Linked DNA regions of Drosophila melanogaster. The gene in region 2 interacts genetically with the main gene of each other region. Each region holds a gene or a part of one and is shown on either strand. Other genes may lie near its edges. The genes, in order: SiaT and Csas.

What was found.
Region 1: of Csas (region 2) and SiaT, changing one enhances a phenotype caused by changing the other (phenotypic enhancement), as found in Drosophila melanogaster (one study listed by BioGRID).

What each region holds. Positions count from the first base shown.
Region 1 is NT_033778.4:24,690,784-24,696,088, forward strand, and holds SiaT (sialyltransferase), read right to left. Parts: upstream 3,604-5,305; 5' UTR 3,124-3,603; intron 2,874-3,123; 5' UTR 2,670-2,873; coding exon 1,892-2,669; intron 1,638-1,891; coding exon 1,540-1,637; intron 1,478-1,539; coding exon 1,198-1,477; intron 1,091-1,197; coding exon 993-1,090; intron 930-992; coding exon 759-929; 3' UTR 639-758; downstream 1-638.
Region 2 is NT_037436.4:19,987,516-19,990,946, forward strand, and holds Csas (CMP-sialic acid synthase), read right to left. Parts: upstream 1,477-3,431; 5' UTR 1,464-1,476; coding exon 1,390-1,463; intron 1,338-1,389; coding exon 1,147-1,337; intron 1,091-1,146; coding exon 886-1,090; intron 831-885; coding exon 554-830; 3' UTR 518-553; downstream 1-517. Other genes in the region: schuy (schumacher-levy), read left to right, coding at 1-517; fln (flightin), read right to left, coding at 2,439-2,571, 2,634-2,789, 2,856-3,115.

The DNA.
Region 1 (5,305 bases), on a different chromosome or scaffold from region 2:
AGGAGCAGGTGGCCCGGTGGGTTCAAGAAACTCCCATTTCACACTTCGGGTTTCGTTTGGACTCGTTTTCTAGATACTGCCCAGTGCCCTTCGGCCATAACTTTCGTTCTGGGCCATGTTCCTGGTTCAACGAAATCTCAATATTTATTCATTCTATATATTATTTAATCGCGCATACGCAGCGTTTAACTCCGGCCACGCCAGCAGAAAACGACCAAAAATTGTCATCATAACACCGACTTTCCGCTGTTGTCTTGACGTCTTGTCACTTTGGAGTCGCCGCACGTTCGGCCTGCCGCATCACGTATTAATGAGTGCTTTCCCTCCCCTCCCAGCTCGCCGCACCCCGTCCACTACACGCCCACGCCGAGATCCTTGGGGCCGGAATAACAATCATAATACTTATACTTATTGCACTCAGGTCGCCCGTGTAGACAAACAGTTATGGCATTTAATGGCAAAGAAAAACACGGCTCCATGAGGACAGTCATAATTTGTGTTCTGCTCTGTTCTGGTCGGCTTTGTTCCAGCCAGCCGAGAGAAGCAATCAAAAGGCAGGGAATCCACTTGGGACCCTGACTCCTCCTCCTCTTCCTCCTCCCACGCTCCACTCGACCAAGTGTACTTCAGCTTGTATTCATTGCAAAGTTGAATTGTTTATTGCACTCGATGAAAACCACTTGATTAAATGCACCTGGTTTGTCACTGCCACTTCCGCCTGCAAACTGCGAACTGGCAACTGGGAATCGCGCTCCTCTTCAGTAGCCAAAGAAGTTGAAGCCGCAGAGCAGTTTGTCCGGCCGGCGAATCCGCAGGATGCCGAACTGGAAGACCGACATGTCGTCGTCCTCCGCCATGTTCATGTCCAGGGCCATCAGCTTCTCGGCGGCCAGCGGATGCCAGGAGCCGAATGTGCAGGCGGAATTCATCTGGGAATGAAGGAAGTCAGGGGATCAGGAGAGTCGGCTGAGTAAATTAATTTTCGAGCACACCTCTTTGCTGTAGTAGTGACAGCGTCCATTGAGTCGTGTGGACGGCACGTACTCCACGAAGTCCACCTGGGGACAGTGCGGCAGGAGCAGGGCCAGTCCTGGGAAGGCACATAATAGAAATCACTCAGCAATTCACATTCGAGAACCCAATTTTTTCTGCAGGCGCAAGGCACACAATTCCAAGCATCTGAACTTTATAGCTTACCTATAAAACCGGAACTGGGGGGATTCTTGCTTATCGGCCGGTTTCCGGCAAACATCTGCAGACTCTGCCACAGGCGCCACACGGAGTGGGGATCGATGAGGAAGGCACGTGACTTCGGATAGCGCCGCCTGTACAGCTCGTAGTTGGAAAAGAGGTCGTAGTCAGCGCTAGTGAGCCAATCCTCCAGTGTGCCATTGTACTTGCCCGGATCCCAGGCGGCGATCGTGACGTTCCGGAAGATGGGGGCTCGGGTGAAGTCGAATTCCGGCTTGGTGACCACCTGGGGAGGGGAAAAGTTGATTGCAGCTGCAATCGAAAGTGCGGAAATGCGCTTCAGCCTACTTGCGAATTCACCACACGGATCGTGGTTTTGCTGCCAACATCCACCTCGTGTCCTTGCGTGGGCGCATGATTGAATCTCATCACAATGTCGTGCGTGTCTGGGAGCAGGGCGGAGCGTAGTGGGCCAAAATGTATAGTAAACGGAATTAGAGTAGACGGCTAAATCAAACCGATCACGAGCGGCCTCTTCCGACTGATTGTGCATGCAGGTGGGTGCACTGCAGTTGCAAACAGCGAAACTTAACAATGCCAGTTTAACAAGTAAAATTTTACTTTATGAGTACAAAAATTAGTGCTCAAACAGAAAAAATAGAATCATGTTCTTATGCATACTGCTTTCAGATTTACTCACCAATGAAGCGGCCTAACTTGGAGCCAGCCAAGGATCCCGCACTGGAGACGATGGCGCAGGTCTTGATGTCTTTGACGTTGCGGAAGAGCTTTTGACGCGGAAAGAGCCGGCCGAAGGGCAGTTTGTTGAAGGGCGCGTCCTTGCGGCGCAGGACCCGCACGCCCGCCTCCATGACCAGGCAGGTCGAGGGGTAGTACTGCTCCTCGAAGCTGTCCCCAAAGACGGGCTTGTAGTCCACGTTGTAGTGGTTCGCCTGCGACTCGTTTACCGACTCCACCATGGCCTTCTCGAAGGCCCGGACAATGCGCTGGCGAAACTGCTGGGTCTTGTTGTGGCACAGCTCCGAGTGCTTGTCGTGGCAGAGATACAGCTTGGGGCTCAGCGTGAGCTTGGTGTTCTTCGAGACCTTGAGTCGGGGATGCGGAGCCAGCTTGGACGAGTTGATGGCCGGATTCTCGCGACTCTCCACGATGAACTTCTCGTTGGGGTTCCAGCGCACGTGGAACACACTGCGCGGCACGCGGTGGCCAGTGGTCCCATTTCCTGTGGGAATGCATTTCCAAATTACTTTGCGCAATCGCCTCTCCGTGCCAGTACTGTTTTCATACGCACCGTTGCCGGGCTGCCGCGAATTCACCTCGCCGGGTTCGCGTCCCGGCTGAGCTTTCACACCCTGGATATGCCCAGATTGAATTATTAATGCGGCGCACACGGCGATAATGAGGCATGAAAGGAGGGCCTGACTTTGACCCGACGATGCGCGTGTCACTTGCCTCATTCTCCACTCATAATACGCTGGTCGAACGAGGGCTCAATTAATATTTAAGTGAGCTGAAGATGCTCGCCTCACGGCAATCAGCGCCAGAAGCCAAAGGACTCAATTCGTAAAAGGATGTAAAGTTGAAACAATGCAAGCCTATTCGGATTCTATCAATGGCATCTTGTATTCATCTTATATTCAACCAAATTGTGACTAAAGGATCTGCTAATAACTTTTAACTTTTAACTTAACTTTTTAAAGTAAATATGGGCTTATTTTTAATTAGGCTTCAATGAACTTTAAATCAATTAAAATATTTGAAAAAAAAACCAACTTTAAATTTATCAAAATAAAACCATAAAATGCGCTCTAGCAACCATTGACTTAAATATTAATCTAATCAGATACTACTATTGGCAGCGGCACCCAAGTTTTTGCACAATTTTCCCTCTTTTTCTTTAACGACAATTACCAAGCGATCAAAATGTTCCGAGAGTAGGATTGAATTTTATTCCCAATTATCGAGAAATTCCCAACTTATTTGCCGCGTCAGTGTCAATTAGCATTGACCTTTAGCTCGCACTTAAGCCTGAGTAGCAATTCATGTAGCTGTCAGTTGGCATAAAGTTTTCATGCCGTATAAATGCTTTTGGACGGATTCACAATTTCACTTTTCTATTTTGGACTTTTTCAGCTGGCGCCAAAAAGTATGCAAATATATACGCCACTGCCGCGAGCAAACAGAAAAGCTAGTTGACCGTCGACGCACAACTAGTTAGCACTAGGCAAATATTTAGCGCCACAAAAATACATTTCAAAGGCGGATAAACACGTACCGACAGTGCGTTCACATGCAGCCCGCAAAACTCGGAAAAGCAGCCGGAAAAGCGAAGGATTTTCCGGCGACGCGTCCGCAGTTCGAACTTTCCCTTTCGCCAGCCGAAACGTATCTGAAAACTCGGCAGACGGCGGCACAGTGCCCCGGCCAATGGAGCCGAAGGACTCGTCTGCGAAGGAGCCAGCTTCGGCAGCGGCATTCCGACTGCCTTCGTCCTTTGCCCATCGCCTCGTCCTCCTCGCTGGTCGCGCCTAATTAGAGTGTTTGCTGTTGCGGCTGCCGATGATGGTGCCGCCGTTACTGCCGCTAAGCACCTGCGTTGAGCGGCTCGAAAGTGAAAGTTACACAGGTTATATAATACAGCCCCCTCGCAAGTCCCGCACAAGCCCACAAGCACTTTAAACGCAAGTGCGTGCGAGATTCCAGAACATGCCATTATTTGCCGCCGCTCGCTGGTTCACCGACTTGATTGCTGCCACTTTGCCGGTTAGCTGCTTGGGGAAATCAAGATTTTCACCTGATATGCATGGTTATACTTTCCATAAATAACGGATAACCCGGCCAGGCGGATTAGGTAAACAAGGCGTTCCGACTTTGTATACTAAATAGGGATCGTGAGTCAAGTTGCAAAGCCTTTCAGCTTTGTTGGCTGGGGAAATCTGAAACATGCATCTTTGTTTCCATCTTCTTCATTAACGATTTTGGCAACCCTTTATCTAAATAGAATTGTCCAAATTAAAATGTGAAGGAAACACTGCTTTAACCCCACGTATGCAATTATCCTTGGCTTTGGTCCGGAGTCATGCAATTTTTCCCCTTTCCATTCCTCCCCTTTCTCTCGAGGACTGCTAATTGTTTTGTTTATAGGGGGTTTTCCCGACCATTATTCCGATTCTTCCCGAGCAAAGCCCACGGGTTTTGGCACGTGGCTGTTTAGTTCCTTCAGTTCATCCCAGTAGGAAGTCAAAGACGGTTTCTCGTATATATATATATTTGTTTTGTTTTTTTGTTTGCTTTTTCGGTTTGAACAATAATTATTATTTTTGTAATCATTTATTATTCATCGTCATAATCATAATAATTTTTCTATACAAATACATTCAATAACAACAATTTATTTTTATTATTTTCGATTTTTCCGTTTTGTATTACGTTTACGTCATTGTTTAATTATTTTACAATTACCATAATTATGCCAGTTGCCATTATTATTAGAAAGTATTACTATTCCTTCTCCGTCCGCTTTGGAAATGAATTTCATTACGTTAGATAGTTTGGCTGGGGGAATTTAATTTTCTTTGGTTTTAGACTTTAGCTTAAGGACTATGAAATTTCGTTTTTGTGTTCTATTTTTGGGCTTTTCATCGTTTTATATTTATAATTTGTTGATTCTTCTATGTTTCTTTATCCTTACGTTTTGTATTTTAATAACAAGTACAGAAGATTTCAGTTTAGTTTTTAAAGTTTTAGCTGTCTCAAGTGGGGTTTTAGGTTTTAGGTTTTACGTTTTATCAGTTTCCACTAAATTACTGTTATTCGGGAGGGGGCTTTTCATTGTTGGATTCGATTTTTCACTATGCAAACTTTCATTCGGGAATTACTATGGTTAGAGTAATCAATTTTATGGAGACTTTTTGTTTTGTCTGCTAGCTGTATATGGCTTTCCATTAAATTAGTCTATGTTTTCATTTAATTAAATTAAACTTGACTTGACGCTATGAATTTCGTTATATTAATTGTTTTTCTTTATTCGCCTTGTTCGGTTTTCTGTGCATGCTTGCATGATATTAAATACAACACATTTTAACGTTTTCTT
Region 2 (3,431 bases):
CCATCCTTGTTGCCACTGCCTGGGACCCTTCAACAACCAACAGGTGTTCCAATCACAGCAGCAGCAGCAACAAGCCCAAAGTGTCTGCTGCCCCTTGAAACCAAGCCAGCGACGCAGCAGCTTCTACCCATCCAAGGAAAAGTCACTAAAGTCCAGCGAAAGATCCCACAATCAGGATGGTATAAAGCCCATATTTAACAAGAAGGCCCAGGTTCAGGAGAAACCCCAGGATGTCAAGGATGCCAAGGCCACCCAAGACGATCAAGCCGGCAGCAAGAAGTCGCCATTACCCCGATCCATGGGTGGTGCATCATTTGCGAGGACCAATCCATCCAGCCCAACCTCCCTGTGTGTCGCTCGGTTTGGCAGGACTTGCTTGGTCCTGAGACCCACCAGCAACGCCCTCATTCCACGCCTCCTGACCAAGCGAATCAGTCGCTACACTTCCGTGATAGCCTGGCCAACAAAAAGTGTGAAGCCTAAACTACAAAATCAAACCAACATTCAAGATCAATGAACTTTACACTTTCTTTGATGAATAGCATATCTATTTCTATAACTCGGTTTTTGTTTCACTACTTAAGATGTATTTGGCTAGAGTCAGATCGTGGCTAGAGTCAATTTCCAGACTATCCTTGGCATCGATTTCCACAACGGAGCACCTATTGTTTTGCAGTAGCCCACTGTCCACCAGTTTCCTCCTCGAGAAGTAAAACATTCCTGTCTCTACAATATCACCCTGCCAATCTTGGCGTCTTGGCCTGGCACTCAAATCGAATTCCGCTGGCATCAATTCACCATCGACCACCTTCCATCGCAGATAATGTGATCTGAAATAGATCATAGATTTTTAAACATCTACATTTTTCTTAGAGCATAGTGTACCTCTTAGCGGCAAAAACACAGTCATGGGACTCAAACTTTCGAACAGCCTCTTGAATATACTTGGTTTTCAGGAATACAGATGTGCATTGGAATAGAGCAAAGTCATGAATACTTCTATGAACATCTAGGAACTCCGAAATGGCATGAAGTGAAGGAGTGTCGTCTCTGGCGAATTTCTCAGGCCGATGATGTATTATGGCACCATCTAAAGTGCTCAAGAGTTTAAAAGATATATTCACTATAATAATATTTAATGCTCACACTTTTGTGCCTCAATGGCAATTCGTTTGTCATCTGTGGAAACCCAAATATGTCGAAAGCAAGTCGAATTTTTGATGGTCATAATTGTGCGGGCCAAAAGCGATGAGCCACCAATTTCAGCCAGGTTTTTCAGCTTGATGCCTTTGCTGCCTCCCCTGGCCAAAATTAATGCATGAATATCGTTGCTCAGACTGAAATAAAATCCAATAAATAAAAGTACTCATAAATCTGCACTACACTAACCAATTTTCCGTGCACCCGGTTTCGAAAAGAAAAACTAGTAAAATAAGAAAAGTGGCCGGTTTCAGTTTTATCATTGCGCTGTGCTTCTGGTTGAGGTCGAAATTTAAATAAAAAGAAAAATCGTGGCGCCCATATAAGATATATGTATTAGGGTGAGCCAGTAAGTATAACATAAGTACACAAAATATTGAAAAAACAGAATATATTTAAAGTATTTTTCATGATCGTGATCCTTTTCTATTTTGAGTTCTTTTGTGATTTAATAATATAATTTAATTTAGTTTGCGATTAGTTCACTCTAAAATGTACTTGTACTAATTCAAACGCACACAATAGCCTAATTTACCCTATTGTGTGTTATTAGAGGGGTTGCACTTGTGATTTATGCAAATAGACACTTTATGGGGACTTTGGACTACTCTGATTTTCCTTACTCGTTCATGGAGGGCAGTACTCACCAGTCAGTCCACCAAAGTGGGTTTTAACGTTTCGTTCATCTTGTTTTAAATTATAATAAAAAATGGATTTCTCATGCGCTTGACTATGAAGTTAAAGTTTTTAAATGCCCATGGGGATTTCTTTAAGCACTAGTTTTTGAATACCTCATACCTGCCGTCATATTTGAATAGGAAAAACATCAATGTTTATTTAGTTTTATTTATTGCACAGTTTTTATTTTAAGCTTTACAATATAAATAGGTTTGTTTTATTTACTCACTTTGCTAAAAATGAAGTAAATAACCTTAAAAATACCATGTATTGAGAGGTAAGTTGTGTTAATATATATGAATAAGTACATATGGCAATATATTAACAGAAATTACGCATGTAAGAAAAAATATACAATATTCGTTTTCTTGAAAGGTCTCCACTCCATAAGGCAGATTCAGGATACAGAGTTTTGAGATGCGCAGATATGCAAACGCTTACTGACTGACTATACACATATGTACGTATGGATCTTTTGACAATGGGTGGTTACCCTTTATATAACTACGAGTGCTCATCCGTTCGTCCGACGGTTCTATTGGTACATTTAGGTGCGCTTACTAAAGGACACTGGCATACCTTTGGTTGATATATGCCTTGGTGTGGTAATTATAAGTTCTTATCGAGGCCGCCAGTGTTTGAATTAGTTGTTTGTCCCTCTTTGCCGGTGCATACGAATCAATGTCACTGCCACTGAGGTGGATAACAAATATTAACAACTACTATATTTACACAAACCGGATTAGCTACTCCACCTGATATTCCGTGTGCGCAGGACACGTTCCGCCCACGTCTGTGGTCTTGGTATTTCCCGGGCCACTCCAGTTTGTTTTTTGTCGATATAGTCAATTACATCATCGTAATAGTTGGTTCTGTAGTTGTACATGTATTTGTATTGCAGAAACTTCGGCCTGAAAAGTGCAGATTGCATAAGATACAGTACGGTACAGTGCTGTACAGTACAGTGGAGGACCAACCTGACCCAGTGGCGGTAGAGCTGCACCGGTTTCCTGTAACCATCGTCTTCTGGCGGAGGCGGCGGTGCTTTGATTTCTTCTACCTCTTCCGGAGCAGCCTCCTCGTTGGCCGGAGTGCCAGCCACGACGCTATCAGCCTTGTGATCGGATGCCACACTCGGTGCTTTTGAGGGTGGGGCCGGAGTGCCCGCCTGGGTGGATGCCGCCTTCTCCTCCTCGCCGCCGTCGTCGAAACCCCATGGATCTTCTTCGTCTGCCATATTACTGAAACGGAATCCTTTCAATATTATTATATATCTATCATAGACAGATTCACTTTCAATATTCGATCTCTAGGTAACGTAAGCCATCATCATATTATTATATCACAATAAGATACTTTAACAAATTCACTGTCTTCTTATTTTTTATAAACGTTGGCCTTTTAACGTTGCATAACATTGCAACACAACCTAAATTTCAATTTTGTTCTTAAAACAACCTTTTTCGCAGTTGATCGGAAATGTTTGGAATTCAGGACGCCCAAATAGCTGGCGTTCTTAGACCTTTCGAATTCAGGACGATTTAAATGGTTCA